Linked DNA regions of Caenorhabditis elegans. The protein of the gene in region 1 purifies or fractionates together with the protein of each later gene. This does not show direct contact. Each region holds a gene or a part of one and is shown in the gene's direction. Other genes may lie near its edges. The genes, in order: pcmd-1, Y71H2AR.2 and F45E1.5.

The links.
Region 2: the proteins of pcmd-1 (region 1) and Y71H2AR.2 fractionate together in Caenorhabditis elegans (co-fractionation; one large-scale study listed by BioGRID). This does not show direct contact.
Region 3: the proteins of pcmd-1 (region 1) and F45E1.5 fractionate together in Caenorhabditis elegans (co-fractionation; one large-scale study listed by BioGRID). This does not show direct contact.

Annotation. Positions count from the first base shown.
Region 1 is NC_003279.8:11,605,253-11,612,924, reverse strand, and holds the start of pcmd-1 (PeriCentriolar MatriX Deficient), read left to right. Parts: upstream 1-1,610; 5' UTR 1,611-1,623; coding exon 1,624-1,716; intron 1,717-1,768; coding exon 1,769-2,032; intron 2,033-2,082; coding exon 2,083-2,172; intron 2,173-2,273; coding exon 2,274-2,413; intron 2,414-2,707; coding exon 2,708-2,847; intron 2,848-3,479; exon of another isoform or gene 3,480-3,610; intron 3,611-5,074; coding exon 5,075-5,275; intron 5,276-5,913; coding exon 5,914-6,018; intron 6,019-6,288; coding exon 6,289-6,487; intron 6,488-7,653; coding exon 7,654-7,672. Other genes in the region: dhhc-7 (Palmitoyltransferase), read right to left, coding at 809-922, 1,107-1,219.
Region 2 is NC_003281.10:2,838,547-2,842,976, reverse strand, and holds Y71H2AR.2 (Peptidase C1A papain C-terminal domain-containing protein), read left to right. Parts: upstream 1-2,049; coding exon 2,050-2,120; intron 2,121-2,197; coding exon 2,198-2,593; intron 2,594-3,024; coding exon 3,025-3,203; intron 3,204-3,568; coding exon 3,569-3,822; 3' UTR 3,823-3,857; downstream 3,858-4,430. Other genes in the region: H34I24.2 (CUB domain-containing protein), read right to left, coding at 217-548, 769-806.
Region 3 is NC_003284.9:7,974,999-7,981,247, forward strand, and holds F45E1.5 (Rhodanese domain-containing protein), read left to right. Parts: upstream 1-1,701; coding exon 1,702-1,956; intron 1,957-3,179; coding exon 3,180-3,530; intron 3,531-3,575; coding exon 3,576-3,788; intron 3,789-3,835; coding exon 3,836-3,880; intron 3,881-3,929; coding exon 3,930-4,193; intron 4,194-4,636; coding exon 4,637-4,684; intron 4,685-4,729; coding exon 4,730-4,806; intron 4,807-4,857; coding exon 4,858-5,227; 3' UTR 5,228-5,737; downstream 5,738-6,249.

The DNA of each region.
Region 1 (7,672 bases):
AACTGGGGCTACAGTAACCCGGGGTGGGTCTCGCCACGATTGGGGGTACTGTAGCACTTGTTTCAGCTGTGTTTATCGATTTTTCGGCTATTTTAGCAGAATATTAGATTTATTTTGAGTTGAAACATTTTTTTTAAGAATTCGGAGAAAAATGCGATTACACAGCTCAAACCGGAGTTACAGTAACCCGCGGTGGGTCTCACCACGATTAGGGGTACTGTAGCACTTGTTTCAGCTGTGTCAGAGCTAGAAAATAGCAATTTTTACACTTCTTTTTAACAAAAAGTTACCAGTTGGCACGTTATTTTAATGAAAACCTTTTTTTTTTAATTTCGAAAAAAATTTGCTTTTATGTCTATTTTTAGTAAAAGTTTTGTTTTTTTTTCTTGAAAATTCCACTAATGTCATCGATTTTAGTGAAAAATCGATAAACACAGCTGAAACTGGGGCTACAGTAACCCGGGGTGGGTCTCGCCACGATTGTAGGTACTGTAGCACTTGTTTCAGCTGTGTTTATCCATTTTCGGCTATTTCAGCTGAAAAATAGATTTTTTTTTGAGTTAAAAACCAAAAATTTTCGAGAAAAAATGCAATTACACAGTGGAAACTAGGGCTACAGTAACCCGAGGGTACTGTAGCACTTGTTTCAGCTGTGTCGGGACACAATATCCCTTAAAATTTCCATTTCTGAGCCAGAAAACCCGAGATTTTGATCATTTTCAGGACAAAAACCTTCGGAAAATCGAAATTTCCCATTTTTTTCCCAGTTTTCCGTCAAAATTCCCTCTTTTCGTGGTAAGACCCTCACTTTGACGAGGAAATCGGCACAGTTCCCGGGTCGGACAACATTGCTCGTGTGTGAGCTACAATCGTCGTTGCCAGCAGGCAATTGAAGACGGCTCCGTGGAAAACTGTCCAAATTCTGGAAAAAATAGCGATTTTTTGTGGAAAATTAGCGTTTTTAGCCAAAAATCAGTGACTTTTGGGGTGAATTTCGCATTTTTATTTCAATTTAATTGTGCCATGATGCTCAAACCCAGAAAAAAATGGGGGGAAATATTGGTGAAAATCCGAAAATTCGTCAATTTTTCTCCACAAAAACCTACGAGTGCCCGAAAGTTGGCAGCAAAAGCCAAATAAGAATCACATAATCCGCATATGCAATCAGTAGATAGATCATGCACACACAAACGAGCCCGCACGGATCCCATTTGAACATTTTCCGGCTCTATTCTCGGTTTAATGTGGCATTTCTGCAAAATTTCCAGATTAGTTGGGGGAAAATGTTATTAAATGTTGAAAAATCGATAATTTGAAATTCATTTTATTGATTTTTATCACAAAATTCGTTGGGTTACTGATAAAAATCAATAAACAACGATGAAAATCCGTGGAAATGATTGATAAATTAAAGGCGCATGGATTTATACGAGTGGTGGGTCTCGCAACGACGACCCCTTGGCACGTTGCCAAGTGCCGCCAAACGGCGGTTTTTTGATTTTAATTTCCGTTTTTTGTGGTTTTTCGTGGATTTTCTTTGATTTTCTTCGATTTTTCTATTCAAAAATGATTTTAAATAAAATTTCGACACTTAAAATCAATATTTTCAGCAAAAAATCCACTATGGAGGTGGAATACGACGAGGGATTCGACTCCAGTTCGCTGAAGAATAATCCCGCCTCCCTCCAGCGGGATTATCCGACTTTTATGGAATCGGTATATTGATTTTCCTTATTTTCCAGCAAAAACTCTCAATTATATCATTTAGAATTGCTCGCAAATGTCCGTAAGACAGGAATTCCTGCCAATATTCCCACAAAGACTGGATTTATGTCAGATTTCGCCGAAAAAGAGCGAAAAAAAGTCGAAAAAGAAGAAGATTCCGAGCCCGATTAAGAAGACGAATGACACTAAATTGTCAATATTAAGCGAAAAATCGGAAATTCGCTCGGAAAAACACAAAAATAAGTGTAAAAGTGCGGATTTGGACGCAATGGAGAAGAATTTTAAAGAATTACTCGAAAATTTCAGTGTACGGGGAGAAAAATGGCGTTTTTCAACCCAAAAATTTCGATTTTTCAGAAAAATGCCGCTCTCAGCAACAGTTTAAGAGATGAAGCTTCATCGATCATAAGCTCATCGGCTTCTTCACAAAAATCTCTGTTTAAAGAGGTAAAATATGTGTTTTTTTGTTGAAAATTCACTTAAAAATCGTATTTTTTGCCTAAAAACCCCTTTTTTTTTTCATAAAAAAAAAAGATTTTTCTCTTCAGATCAACCTTGCCAAGAAGCTCTCCGCGAGTTACTCGAAAAAACCCGAAAAAACTGGCGAAAAATCGAAAAATTGCACGTTTTCGGATAGTACCTTCCGTTTGAGCAGCCAAAATGACTCGGACAGTGATGATACGAGGCCGTAAGTGAAGAAAAATCGAATTTTACACGAGAAACTATTGAAAAATGCGAAAATTTATCGATTTTCCATACAAAAAAGTTGAAATCCGAGTTTTTGAACCCAAAAAATGTGAAAATTGATTAATTTTCCACTCAAAATCTGAATTTTTTCGTATTTTCACCGGAAAAGCTCCAGAAAAATTAAATTTTCAGTTTAAAATCGCTAAAAACCTTTAAAAAAATCGATAAAAAGCTATTTTTTTGCAAAATTGCTTTAGAAAACGTGAAAATCGCTGCTGAAAATGTATTTTTCCAGGCCTTCAAGTCAAGCTTCACTGGCCTTCGAAGTGGAACAAGCTCGAAATATGATGATGTCATCGGCTAAAATTCCGAAGCCTCTGAGCTCATCGACACCGCGCAAAGAACGACGAACAACTGGAACGAACAGCGATTCCAGTAATATTTTCGGCCGAAAATTCTGAAAATTGGGCTTTTTGCTCAGAAATTGCCGAAAAATCGGAGAAAACTCGAATTTTTAAGCTTAAAATTACAATTTTGAAGCCAAAATCCGTGAAAATCATCTGGAAATTTTGGCATTTTTATCCGGAAATTTCCGAAAAATCGTTGAAAAAAGCAAATTTAATGTTTTTGCCTTGAAATATCCGAAAAATAAAAAATAAAACTTGAATTTTCAGATAAAATTTTGGCAAATCTAAAAATTTTCAAGCCAAAATGTGGAAATTTTGACCTTTTTACCCGGAAAGTTCCGGAAAACAGTGAAAATTTTGAGTTTTCTCCAAAAAATTCTGAAAAAAGGAGCATTTTAAAGCTAAAACCTGGAAATTTGACCTTTTTACCTTGAAATTACCCTAAAATCGTAGAAAAAAGGCAAAATCTATAGAAAATCGCCGAAAAACCCATAGAAAACTTGAATTTCGAGCCGAAACTTGGATATAAATATGTTTTACGAGATTCTCAACGGAGCGCACTTGCTTCCAACGAAAAAAAAAACCCTAAAAACTTTGGATTTTCAGTATTTTATCAGTAGAGCGCATTTCAAAAATCCCTTTATTTCGTGGGTCCCGTCTAAGCTTCAGTCTTTAATTTAAGTTCACACTGTGAGGATTACGGTAGCTACAGTAGTAGCTACAGTAACCCTCAATTCAAATAAGATCAGTTTGTAGTAAGTTGTGTATTTCGCAGAGAACATCATTAGCCACGAGACGGGCGGTGTGGAAGGAAACTGAACACAGGCGGTGAGGTCTTGATGCCTGTGTTACTAGCCACTAGGCCACGGTGTAGGGGGTCTCTAGGTACATGCTATGCAGGTTTATGTGTTAGATGGAAAGGGTTGACAGAGTGTAATGGGGGAATTCACTGAGTAGCGACTTGTGTGACCTCAGTGTGTCTTTTTCAATGGTCTCGACACGGAAATCGATTTTTTTTTCCCAAAAAAATCAAAGTAACGAATTGTGGCATCTGTGTAGCTTTGCCCAATGAAAAGTATGAATAAATGTTGAGTTCCGCGTGAAAATCGCATTTTTCATACTTTTCATGTGCAAAAGAGCACATTTGTCACCGGAGACGGGGAACCTCTGCCCAAATTTTCATTTTAATAGTTAATTTAGTGAGATTTTTGTGAAATTATCTGAAGAGTGATAAAAATTTGGTCCAAAACTGGCAAATTTCACGAATTAGCGTTTTTGGTTAGAATTTTTGCGGAATTGTGAGCATTTTTTTTAAAGAAAAATGCAACTATTTTTGCTCGGAAAATCGAGTTTTCGGAAATTGCACTGCTATGTGGCATCTGTGTATCTTACTACAGCAATCCGTGGGTCTTGACACGAAAATCGGAAAAAAAAAATCAGAAAAACGACTTGTGACATCTGTGTTGCTTTGCCCAATGAAGAGTATGAATAAATGTTGAGTTATTCTGTGAAAATCGCGTTTTTCATACTTTTCATGTGCAAAAGTGCTCATTTGTCACCGGAGACGGGGAACCGCTGCCCAAATTTTCATTTTTTGTATCAAATTTTGATAAATTGGCAGAAAAGTGCTGAAACTTTGGTTCAAAACTAGCAAATTTCACGAATTAGCGTTTTTTTTTTTGCTAATGCTGTAAAATTTTGATAATTTTAAAAATTCATGTATATTTTTTAGAAACTGCTAGTTTTTTTTTTCGAAATTACAGGGAATCAGCTTTCAAGTTTTTTAGTCCCAATCAAAAAAGCGAAAATTTAAGCCCCATATTGATCTATTTTGATGAAAATCGGTTTTTTGAGCTCCGCGAGCCCTGAAAATGCTCGAAATTTGATTTTCACCGAAACAGGCCGATATGGCTTAAGATTTCGGATTTTTGCGGGGAATTCAAATTTTTTAGTCCCAATCAGCAAAAATCGGTAGGAAAATTGCATTTTTCGCAAGAAAATTACAAAAATTTAAGATTCTCTCGAAAAATTGATAAAAACCCAAATTTTCCAGCAATCTCCGTCATTTCGGCTGAAAAACGATATCTAAAAAAAAATTCGCGACTTGTGGCATCTGTGTAGCTTTGCCCAATGAAAATTATGAATAAATGTTGAGTTCCACGTGAAAATCGCATTTTTCATACTTTTCATGTGCAAAAGAGCACATTTGTCACCGGAGACGGGGAACCGCTGCCCAAATTTTCATTTATTTTCAGTTCGTCTCTCCGAATCACAGCTCGTGGAGCTCTACTCGAATCGAGAGCCGCGAAATTCGAAATCTGACATCACAATTCGACAATTTTTCGACGAGGAGGATGACGCTGATAAAACGATTGTCGAGCAGGTTTTCAAGGATTATCACAGGAGTTTGGAGAAGGAAACTCCGATTATGAGAAATTCGGCGACGGATACATCGGGTAGGGAGAGGAACTACAGTAATCCATGGGTCTTGGCACGAAAATCTGGAAAAAATGGAGAAAAACAACTAGAAAACGTTTATTTTCAAGTTTTTAGAATAATCGTTTTTTTTTATCCAGAACAAATCTTAAATAAAAATTAGGCAGGAACTACAGTAATCCATGGGTCTTGGCACGAAAATCTGGAAAAAATGGAGAAAAAAAAATTAAGAAACATTGATATTCAAGGTTTTTTTGAAAAATAATCGATTGAAAAAAGATTTTTCATGTTTTTCACATTTTTTTTTAATAAAAAAGTAATCCTGAAATATTTTCAAATAAAAATTAGGTAGGAACTACAGTAACCCAAGGGTCTTGTCGCGAAAGTTTGCAAAAATTTCAAAATAACGACTTGTGGCATCTGTGTAGCTTTGCTCAATGAAAAGTATGAATAAATGTTGAGTTTTTCGTGAAAATCGCATTTTTCATACTCTTCATGGGTAAAAATGCACATTTGTCACCGGAGACGGGGAACCTCTGCCCAAATTTTCATTTTTTCGAATAAATGTGGCTAATTACACTAATCCCCTCCTTTTACACCGTCCTACCCCCATAATTATAGGCTCTCGGAGCAATTAAATGCTCGGTTTTTTTTCCAGGATCTCTACATATTGAACGAAATCGTGACGGACGGTCGGCTTCGATGAGCAATCTGATTTCGAATAGTGGAAATCGTACGAATTTGACGGTTTTTGATGGATTTGGTAGGTTTTTTGGAGCTGAAAATGCTGGAAAATTGAGATTTTTCATTAAAAAATTCATTTTTCAGATGGAAATGCTGGAAAATTGATATTTTTTGTGGAAAAAATAAGTTTTTAATCGAAAAATGTAAAAATTTCGATATTTTTCATTTAAAAAAATTAATTTTTTTTTTGCAGAAAAAACTGAAAATAGATATAATTTTTTATATTTAGATATAAAATAATTTTTTCAGCTGAAAATGCTAAAAATTCCCCAAAATTCCATTTTTCCAGCTCCCGGAGCCCTCCGTCACTCGATATCCACCGTACAAATGAGCCCAACCAAAAAAAAATTCGACGAATTTCGAATTGAGCACCAAGAACCTGGCATTTTGCCAAGATTTGTCATCAAAACGTCACTGCGGCCGATTTTTTCGCCACCACTCGATATTGATGAGATTTGTGGAAAAGGACTGAGAAAAGATGCGGAAAGGTGCGAAATTCGTGCTGAAAATCGACAAAAATTGGAGTTTTTGGCTTAAAATCCGGAAATTTGTGCTCAAAATTTCGAAAAATAGTCAAAAAAAAATTCAAATTTGGAAAAATACGTTATTTTTACCCAAAAAATTGATTTTCAAGCATTTTTTCGCTTTAAAAACTTGAAAAGTGCGTTTTATGCGAGAAAAATCGATAAATTGCCGTAAAAAAGTCATTGTTGGCTTTTTAGACTGAAAAATCTAAAAATTGGGTCACAAATTTGGGAATTTCGACAAAACTACAAAAAAAATCCACTAAAAAGCGATAATTGGCTCAAAAATCGCAAAAAAAAAATGGAGAAAATGTCTGAAAATATTCGATTTCCACAATTTTGCACTGAAAATTCGAAAATTTACTAAAACTCGGTGATTGGCTCAAAAATTCACAGCTCAAAGCCAAAAAATGGGGTGCTTGGACCCAAAAATTCGAATTTTCCGCCAAAAATCCGTAATTTTAAGCTCCATATTTTTAAGCCCTATTGGTGAAAATCGATTTTTCGAGCTCCGTGAGCCCTGAAAATGCTCGAAATTCGATTTACACCGAAACAGGCCGATATGGGGCTTAAAATTCCGGATTTTTGGCGGAAAATTCGAATTTTTGGGTCCCAACACCCCATTTTTACAATTTTTTGGCTTTGAGCTGTGAATTTTGGAGCCCATCACCGAGTTTTATTAAATTTTCAAATTTTTAGTGCAAAATTGTGGAAATCGAATATTTTGAGACATTTTCTCCATTTTTTTGCTATTTTTGAGCCAATTATCAATTTCTTAGCGGATTTTTTGATAGTTTTGTTGAAATTTCCGAATTTTTGAGCCAATTTTTTGATTTTTCAGTCTGAAAAAGGCAAAAATGGCAATTTTTCGATTTTTCTCGCAAAAAAACGCACTTTTCATGTTTTTAAAGCGAAAAAATGCTTGAAAATCAATTTTTCGGGTAAAAAATAACGTATTTTCCAAAATTTGAACTTTTTGACAATTTTTTGAAATTTTGAGCACAAATTTTCGGATTTTTTAGTCCCAATCAGCGAAAATCGGGGAAAAATTGCATTTTTTGGCAAGAAAAATACGAAAATTTGCTAAAATTCTCTCGAAAAATCGATAAAAACCCCGCAATTGTTTTCAGCAATCTTCGTCATTTCGGC
Region 2 (4,430 bases), on another chromosome or scaffold:
AAGGCGGCCTACATGCCATTCTATGTACTGCTAAAGTTGTCTTTGCATTTCACGTGGGCACTCGGTGTCTGATAGTCTTTCTACCTACGCGTGCCTTCCCGTCTTCTGCGCTGTTTAACCTACCTACGACTGCCTACCAGGCAGCCTACGACTGCCTACCAAGCTACCTACAGTGGATCTCGTGCCTACTTCACATAGCTATCTAATACAACTCACGCAAAAGACTGTACGTCACATTTGGAAGCGGTGCTGGTGTAGTTGGTCCAGCTGATACAGTAGACCCTCCAGAGGTCACTGGAGCCGCCGAAGAGCTTGATGGCTCGGCAGTGGTTGCTCCGGACGATGGGGATACTGTAGATACGGGTGCTCCAGAGGATGCGGCTGCTTGAGTAGTGGCAGATGGGTCAACGGAAGTTGGAGAAGCTGGAGCCTGGGATGGTGCTGCTGATGAGGAAGCGTCTGTTGAGGGAGAAGCTGCGACGGTTGTTGCTACCGATGAAGAATTTGAGGCTCCCGGGTCTCCATTGCCACTAACCAATGTGGCTAATCTGAAAAAAATTTGGAAAAATTATTGTTTCGAGAAAAATCAATACCTTTTCCAAGAAAATTAATAATTTTGGAAGAAAAATCGTCAATTTCTTGGAAAAATCAATATTTTCCATTTTAAAAAGTCGGCTAAAAATTTGAAAAAACTCGATGCTTCTTCTAAAAAACCCCAGTTTCTGGAAAAAATACGAAAAAAATCAAACAATTTTGCCCAAAACTTACAGTAACCCAACACATAACGCCAAAAACCGGAATTTCATTTCTAGCGACAAGAAGCCTGTGTAGAAACAGAAGTGATACTGCCGAAAATTTAGAAATTTGCCTTATCAGCTTAAAAAGGGCGTCGAATTGAATGATTTATGTTTGCTCCCCATCCAAAAATGTACTACCGTCATAATGCACAACTACTGATATATTTGCTGGTGATAAGAATGATTTATACCGTTTTTACGACGGCAATTTTAAACAGGAAGGGGAGTTTAAATGTGAAAAATGGAAGAGAAATTGACTGAAACGTGGTCAAATTTGACTGTAAATGAACCAAACATGCCTACATGCCTACAAATTGTCGTTTTAAATTCTGAAAAAACGCAAAATTTGCGAAAAAATGGCTACGGGAATTTTCGAAAAATTTAGTCTGAAGTCAGATATGAATTTTCAAAGTTTGAAAAATCTACTATTTTTGCATTTAAATTGACTATTCCAAATTAACTCAAAATGTGCTCAAAAATCCACATTTCCTGCTTGAACTCGGCAATTTCGGAAGTTGTTGGAATGCCGCTTTCAAATTCTGAAAGAACACAAAATTTGCGACAAAATGGCTACGGGAATTTTTGAAACATTTAATTTGAAGTCAGATATGAATTTTCAAAGTTTGGAAAATCTACTAATTTCGCATATAAATGGTCAGTTTTATTTAGGGCTGTACAAATCGGCGTCCGGTCGTCCGATTTTGACACCACCGGACGCACCGCGTCCGGTTTTGGGGTAGGTTTCCACGGCGGCCGACAATTTCCGAGTTTCGCCACTCACTATACTTAATCAGCAATTTTATAGTGGGTGGTGAAACTCGGAAATTGTCGGCCGTCGTGGATAGCTACCCCCAACCGGACGACCGGACGTCCGGTTGTACAGCCCTAGTTTTATTTAACCTCAATTTATACTCTAAAAGGTTTGATATCTCTAAAGGTATCTCTGCTTAAACTTGGCGGTTATGCGAGCTACTGAATCCAAACTCCAAAAAATGCCTACCTGTCTACATGCCTACATGCCTACATGTCTACATAGATATCAAAAACAAATCACACAACAAATAGAACCGAAGGAAATTACTTTACTACCACTTCAATTCTCTAAATCTCTCACTGAAAACAAGTTTTTTTTTGTTTTCTATTGCTGATAACTTTTGAACTTGACTGACTCATCATGAGGAATAAAATATCGTTAGCAATAAGTGGATATATAAAAGTTAAATGAAAATAGCAAGAAAATCACAAATTCTCAATGGTCAGTGCTACTAAATTAAGCTCGAAAGCAGATGAGGCGAAGAAGCAAAAAGTCTTCGTTGCAATGGGGTAAGTCTTTCTTTTTATACAAACGAAGAAGGCCTAAGCCTAAGCCTACGCCTAACATCGAAAGTAAATTATTCCAGAGAAGACTTGTTCGAAAAGCCAGCAAACTCGAGAAGCACCTTCAATTCCATTATCCTCTTCACTCTAACTGCGTTGACATTCTACATCATTGGTTCTTTAGTTCAGCAGAGAACCTCTGAATCACTCCCAACAAGATTTCAATGGGAAACCCCAATTCACATGGACCGAACCACTGAGGAATTTCTTGATTGGAGAGAGAAAGGAATTGTTGGACCAGTTAAAGATCAGGGAAAATGCAATGCATCCCACGCATTTGCGATAACTTCCAGTATTGAGTCAATGTACGCCAAGGCTACAAATGGAACACTTTTGTCATTTTCTGAGCAGCAGCTTATTGATTGTAATGATCAGGGATATAAGGGATGTGAGGAGCAATTTGCGATGAATGCTATTGGGTAATTGTTTTGGGTTGATTTAAGGTTTAGACCGTGATGAGCAATTGAAAAGCGAAAATTTTTATAGTGGCTCTGTCGTTTTAGAAATACAAGCTCGTGTACCTCGATGCCGGAAAGGTCTAGAAATTTCCAACCAGCAAACTGTTCTTTATTTCAAACATGATTAACATTTCGTTTATTAATTACGTTTATTAATTAGTCTATCCGTTTTTGAGACACGCAAATTTGAAGGTCATTAGACCTTGTCTTCAAATACCTAAATCTTTGAAGTTAATAGAGTGGTAAAAATGTGATCAATTGATAATAAATGCTTATGCAATAATGATAGGTAGCATTTGTCGTTTAAAACACCCATAAATGTGAATCGGAACCTAATTATTTAACAATTTTGTCAGATGAAAACCTTTAGCGCTAAATATTCAAAATTTCAGATACCTCGCCACTCATGGCATAGAAACAGAAGCAGACTATCCATATGTTGACAAGACAAATGAAAAGTGTACCTTTGACTCAACTAAATCAAAAATTCATTTAAAAAAAGGAGTTGTGGCAGAGGGTAATGAAGTACTGGGGAAAGTTTATGTCACAAATTATGGACCCGCGTTTTTCAGTGAGTTTTTTTTTTTTATTGGTCATAATTGTGCAAAAAGTAAATTTCTTGATAGATCATTTAAAGTTAGAGTAGCGCCAATTGGGATTTGGTCTAAATGTACTTATAATGATCCAAAACTACCGAATATCATAATAAAACTCTTTAAAAAATTTTAGTAAAAAATTTTTTTTTTGGTCGACTTCCAAAATTATGAGTGGCAAAAATTGAGTAATTGCCACTTTTTGACAGTTAATAAAAAATTTTCAAAAATTTTTTGAAAAGTTTTATCACGATATTTGGCCATTTTGGGACCAAAGGAGTGGTTTTTAACATATTCCCCACTGGCGCTACTCCACCTTTAATAGCAATACAAATATTTTCAGCGATGCGCGCCCCTCCATCCCTCTACGATTATAAAATCGGAATCTACAACCCATCCATTGAAGAATGTACAAGTACACATGAAATCCGATCAATGGTAATCGTTGGGTACGGTATCGAGGGAGAGCAAAAATATTGGATTGTGAAGGGCTCATTCGGGACATCGTGGGGAGAGCAGGGATATATGAAGTTGGCAAGAGATGTTAATGCATGTGCAATGGCAACTACAATTGCAGTTCTTACCGAGTTTGTATAATTTTGAGAATTGTTATTACGATAAGAATGAATATTTATCTACAGCGCGGGCTTCTGACTTCCTTTATATTTTGATATAGATCTCACTTAAAATTAAATTTTTCAGAATTTTTCTTCGGGTACTTGTTTCAAATTTTTGCTGTTTTTTATTTTCTTTTTCTCTTTCTGAATTTATATACCAAATTTTTTAAGTACCAGTAGCTTCCAGTTCAATCATAAAATCTGAATTTTCAGGCATAAGTTTGACCGTACTTTTCAAGATGTACCATAACCAATCATTTAGTTTTCATAATTTTAAAAATTTATATCTCAAATTAACTTTTTTCAGAATGTTTTTCCGGAGAACACCCAATATTTTTTAAACTTTACCATTTATGTACTTGGCGCGGATAAAAAATTTCGTCTTCTCATGTGGTGTCATAATGTCCCATTACGGTTTCATCTACGTTTTGATCTACTCCCATCTACAAAAAATGCGGGAGTAGAGTTCTCAAATGATTTTGCATGGTTAAGAACGTGCTCACGTACAAAAAATGTCGCATTTTATTGTGGATCAAACAGTGATGAGACAGCCTGACACCAGATGTCTTCCTAGGTTCTTGGCAGCAA
Region 3 (6,249 bases), on another chromosome or scaffold:
TTGTTATTTTTAGAACAAACAAATACATTTTAGGATGTTCAACCTAGATATAAATCCGAGTTGCATTGAGCAATGTTGCAATGAAGTTTAGCCAAGTCGCCTAAGGGTTATTCCTTTTTTTTTCGTTTTGAATTTCAATTAAAAAGTTCTAGATAAAATATATGTAATGTTAACATACTTTCATTAGTTTTTGTTGAAATTAGACCTCATACACCAAAAAACTTGCTCTAACTATAACTTCAATTTTTTTGTTTTTACACTTCGTTTCACTTTCTCCGTGATGTTTCTCATTCCTCAATTTTGTACCTGTTTCTGTATTAACGTATACATTACAAACGTACCAATTTTTTGTATCAAAATGTGTTTTAATATTGTCTAAAATATAATTTTCGGGATTGTGTGTTTTTCTAATTTCTTGTTGGTTATAGACGGCTTTGCCGCAAACTTGCCACTTGTCTAGACCAATTTCTCTTGAAAATATGATCATATTTGAAAAGAAAGCCCGACTCTGGGTTTTCAAATGTTTTCAGTGCTCTATTGTGCTAATACAGCTAGGTCAGAGACTATAAACTAGTTACAACTTGACAGATGTTTCTATAGACACATGAAAGATAAATATTTCAGTACGTGTTCGGTGAACTGGAAATTCTCATTCACCGTCATCTAATGTTTTGTTCTATTTTCAATTTAGCTTAAGGATGACATGACATTGCTGAGCACATTACACTTTTCCTTGAAAGTTTTGATCTTTTGATTTTTATTCTCAATATGTTAGACTACTTGGTTATTTTTTCCTTTGGCTTACTAGTTTAGCTATAATTGTTAGTTTCATATTTAAACCTCTTGTTACCTTGATTTTAAAATTAGTGAGGAGAATGACCATTAATCTAGTTCAGACAAACGGCAACAAGCATTTTCAACTGATAAAATAGTTTACAAAGTGTTTACTACTTTTATTTATATGATAACGTTTCTATAACTGTTCTTGACAATCGTTTATGACGTCTTGAAACTTTTTCTTTTGGTCGAGTTTAATATTGCAACAGTTTAGCGGTTTTCCTTAAAACTAGCAACAAAACAGTCATAAAAGTGGGATCAAGAGATAACCCATTTATATTTATATTTGAGTAAAGAATACAATTATTTTAAGCTTCTATTTTGCGTATGCATTTTTTAGTGTATAACAATTGATAAACATGTTATTTTGTAATTCCACTTATAGTGTATTGCTTGAAGCAATATGAAGGAGAAATGTTTATAATCAGTCTAATTAGTGACCGAATAACATAACAAAAAATAGACAATTTTTAAAGATTTTTTTATTTGCAGTTGAAAGTGACAATTACTCACCTATCATAATCTTGAAAGTTGACCAAAAAAAGTCTCAAAAAAGTCAGAGTTTTAATTTTAACTATGATCATATTTTTTGATTGAATATTGTAGGACACAGACGTGTTCAAAATTATTCAAAATGTCCTATCTATGCTAATGTTAAATATTATGTATTTTTGGAATATCATTTTAAAAACATGTCCCGCATCATTTCTTTAAATTTTTCCAGATTTTTGTTCCACTCAAAAAAATGGGCGGAGCTGTACTACGTGATGTTATTTTTCACGACAAACTCTTTCCTCAGTGTTTCTCTTTGCAGTCTTTTTCTCAACTATTTTGACAAACAATCTTACAATATCATGTATTCAGATGGGTTCTAAAAGTTCGAAACCAGAGGGACAAGAAAACAAGCCTTGTTTCTTAGATGCTTCTCAAAAACGCAGAGAAGTTATTTCAAATCTTCCTGATGAATCGGAACATGACACCGACTCGTTGAAGGCTCAATCAGAAGGCCGAGGACTGAAGCACGTCCAATTTGTTGATAAGCTGAAATTCGATTGGGATGATCGTCCTTCACAAACAAATCCAGCACCACCCAAAACATTGGAAGATTATGAAATCGAAGTAAGTGCAATTATTTTGCAGCTTAACTAATGTTCAATATGTTTTTCTAATACCGTATTTCTTCTATAGTATGGCCTTCCTTTTAGACTTGCACTTCTTTTTAGTATTACACTTTGAAAACCCTCCAAAAATTAATATTGAACTACCTATTAGTGTTGCACTCCCTAATAGTCTCGCATCTACTTTTATTTCTGGTACAAATCCTCCTTTCTAATTTTAAGATTTTAACAACATTTTTGCCTATTTTGCAAAAATTTTTGACAAAATTTCTATAAGATTGAAGTTATTAAGCCTTTCTGTTTCAATTACAATTGAATGTTCTAAATTATCAAAAAAAAATTGGAGTTTTTCCAAATAAAAAACTAATAAAAATGTTCTGAAAAACAGTATTGCTCTTCCTATTATACTCCCTAACAGTATTGCAAGCGGGAATACCTTCGAAAAATAGTATTGCTAAAGCCATACTAATAGAAGAAATACGGTAGTTCAAAACATTTTTTTCAAATCTAGTCCAGGCTGTAAACTTTCTAAACTTTTTTAGTCGGCTTTTAAAACAACACCTGGACAAGTGTAGTCGTGAGTAAAACATAGAAAAAGTAAAGAACACTGGTGTGCAAACAGCAGACGTCTAGACTTAAAGTGTCGTTTTATGGGAACACGAGATCTTAATACTTACTAGAAATATGAGTCTGGCAAGTTGGTCTTTGGATTATAGGTTTCTTAGAAAACGAGTGAAAAGAATATCGCATGTAGTAATCTTTGCAAGTAGTAATTTCAACCAGCTAGTGGGTTCATGCAAGAGTTATTACATTGAGTTAGTAATTGTGTACATCAATGCATTACTAGTGAAGAAAAAGTTGGGAAACGTGCAAATTGATTTCAGGTGGATATTGAATGTGGTGTAGCTTACTTTGAGAATGCGCTATTCACTATTCTGTGATAAAACAATATGAATAAGTGTAAAATCAAAATAAAATTCTGTCTGTTTTAAATGCAATAGTTAGCCTCTTCATTTAATTTAAAGAACAATTAAAAAATTTCACAGATCGCATGAATTAATCCATCATTTGTATTTTCTCTAGTTTCGCACAGAAAATGTATACTTACCTGAATGCCGACTTAACCATACTTTGTCGTTAGAAATATTATAGACCCAAACTAACACAAAGATAGTACTTTTCTCATCTGCGCAGAAGTTTTATTGCAAATTAGTTAAATTACAGAGCATGCTTGGGGATGACAAGGACAATAAGACAGCTGATAAAAATGTAGTCTGGAAGCGTAAGGGACCTAAACACGGTTGTGTTCAGTTTTTTCGCAAAGAAAAGAAAGAAACCAACCTTGAACCAGAACCTCCTAAACATCCAGGCGCTGACAAGGCTGAGAGATGGCAAAAACAAACATGGAAAGTTTTCTCCGGTCCACTACCACCTTTGGTTAGTACATCGGGAATTGATGATGAAGAAACTGTTATCCTGAGCAAAGTTATTCACGAAGCAACTCAAGAAGCATGTATAGTGAAGACGTCGGATAACCCGGCATCAAGTGAGGAATTCAAAGTGACACCAGTTCATGTAACTAGCTCTTTGCAAATGACCTACATTTCAATTAAATTTCAGCCTACTAAAAAACCGTTTATAATGATCCATCAAACAAATGAGCAAGAAATCATGAAAACACAAGGAAGCTTTCGTTTGAACCAATGGCTCAATGTCAAAACAGATATTAATAGCGTATCATTGGAGAATTCGGATGATTCAATTTTTATGCAGATGTTCAATATCATTTCGCATGAACGAAATCGTCGATGGTATGCCTATCGAAGAGAACATGTAAGCAATTAGTGAATTTAAATAAGTTTTGAATTTTTTTTTTCTAGGAATCCCTGACACTGGAAGAAGCTTATTTGATTGGAAACGGAGGAGTAAGTTTTATTTTTAAACAGTTTAATTAACTTATTTCATGAAATTCAGTATCTTCCCGGAGAGACGAAACGTTTTGGTATAGCGGAGGTCGCAAGAAAAAAAATCAGTAACACTCTAAGAATCAACATGATTCCAGTTGTTCACAGTCATCAACCCGTTATCGGTGTCCCATTCAAAGGATACTTGCGCGATATTGTTGAACTACCAGAATGTTCAATGGAATTCATTCAAATCATCAATCAGCACCTCATGCCTCACGGTCTTCAAGTTATTGATTTGAGACGCAGATCAGAGGAAGTGCTCGGACAACCGGTAAATTGGACAAACATTTAATACAACTGCATTTGTCGACAGTTCGCCTCAACTTCTAAACTAATTTTAGATTTTTCCAATAGGAATTTCAAGTTTCTAATGTTGGTTGAGAAATTGTGCCGCATTGTTTCAAATCGATGGGTTACAAATGCATTTGATTAAATTTGCTAATAAGACTGTGGCCTCTGATTTATTGTGACGATCATGGTGAAATACAGTATAGTAATAATGTTATTAATGTACATAGCATATTTAAGCAAATTTCTGACCGCGGAACCTTTTTCGATAATGTTCTCAGAATTGTTATTGGGTTCACTGAATAATTCGTAAAGTTGTAAGAACACAAGACTAAAAGACATTACTTTTCCGGCCAATAATTTATTTTTATTAACCAGTTGCAAAATCAATTCGCGTAATCCAAATATACATAATTTTTATTTCAGCCATTATACCATGATGATTACGAGATGGCCAATCACACCATTGACGCAGTGAGTTCAACATTTTTAACAAACACAATATTTTTTTTTTCACAGATATCACGTTCAGTTGAAGCTCTCAATTCCATCAAAAACACAGCAAAATATTTCATCGTTTATGCTATTTATGCAGAGTGAGCCCTTCTAAAAAAAGATCGTATGCTTATAGAAGTTTCTAATTTTAGCACAGTACCAATGTACATTTACCAAGCAATTGTCCGATTCAAGCCTGGGCTTCCAATCAATTCAGCTGACTGGATTGACGATGGAAAATCGCGATTAGAAATTGAAGAACCAGACATGGAGCCTGTTAACACTCTTGACAGTGTTTGCTGGTTAATGCAAATCAGAGAGTATCGGTACAAGGTTGCCGCAGAAAAATCAAAATATGAGAAAGAATTGAAGCAGAAGCAACGTGAAGAACAAAAAGAGCAGAAAGAACTGAAACGGCAACAATGTGAAGAGTTGAAGAGACAAAATGTAAAGAAACAGCAAGTAGCTAGCATGTCAACTTGGAAAAAAGTGAAGACTTTCTTCAGAATTAAATCGAACTAGGAATAATTCGAAATAATTGTTGTGTTATTTGTAAAATATCGTTGTTAACATTCCTATCTCATTTTCTACAAACCTCTTTATTTTCCCATCTCTTTGTTTTTCTGTGTTGTTACTTCTGAGAATCAGTATATTTACCGAGCAATGCAATGAATTGACACACAGAAATGCTTCCAACAAAAGTTCAAATTGCATACTGTGATTTTAGTAACTCTTTTTCACGTTTTACTACATTAGTGAACCTCTTATTTTTCTTTTGCAGTAAAAAGTTGATGTTCCTGACAACTGAGTTAAATCTTGGTTGTTTTACATTTTGAATTGCATAATTCGCCGATTATTTATTCATATTTCTACATACATTTTCGGAACGTTTGTCCTTTTATTTATACTTCTGTCTGCAATAACTGAACCTTCAAATTCATCTGATTGTAATTTAAATTTGTTCCCGTTCACAATCGTATCAATGATTCCTCAAATGTTAACAGTTCCGCGCGTACGATCTTTAAAACAGTTTTTCGAAAACTGATTTGATTTTCTCAAGTGTTAAAGTCCTACTATCCAAGAGACAGTAAACTTCTTGATGTTGCCCGCTATAAAATTAGATGTTAAAATGGCGTAGTTCAAAATGTTTTAGTACTAGCACTCCCTTTTCAGTTTCGTTAGTTTCGAAGGATTTTTCTGAAAATTTATTCAAAGAACACAACAACTGAACAAAAAACAAACGTGTTTAATTACCGAAAAACCTATTGCGGAATGAATAAAAAGCTAAAATTCCGAAAAAAAAACATTTGACAAAATTTCAAAACATCCCGTTGCGAAGCTTTAACTTTTTGGGGCATTTTTTTGCTTAAAAGAGTAAACTACCAGATTTTGCTATTCCACCAAAAACATGGCATGTTTTCAAGATAAAAGTAACCTGGTCCAGTTCTAAAAATTCAGAATCAACTTTCAAAAAACGTTCAAAAATATCTATTTGAAGGAATTATGTCTGAGTCGGAATTTGTTGGCGCGCTTTATAGTTGTTA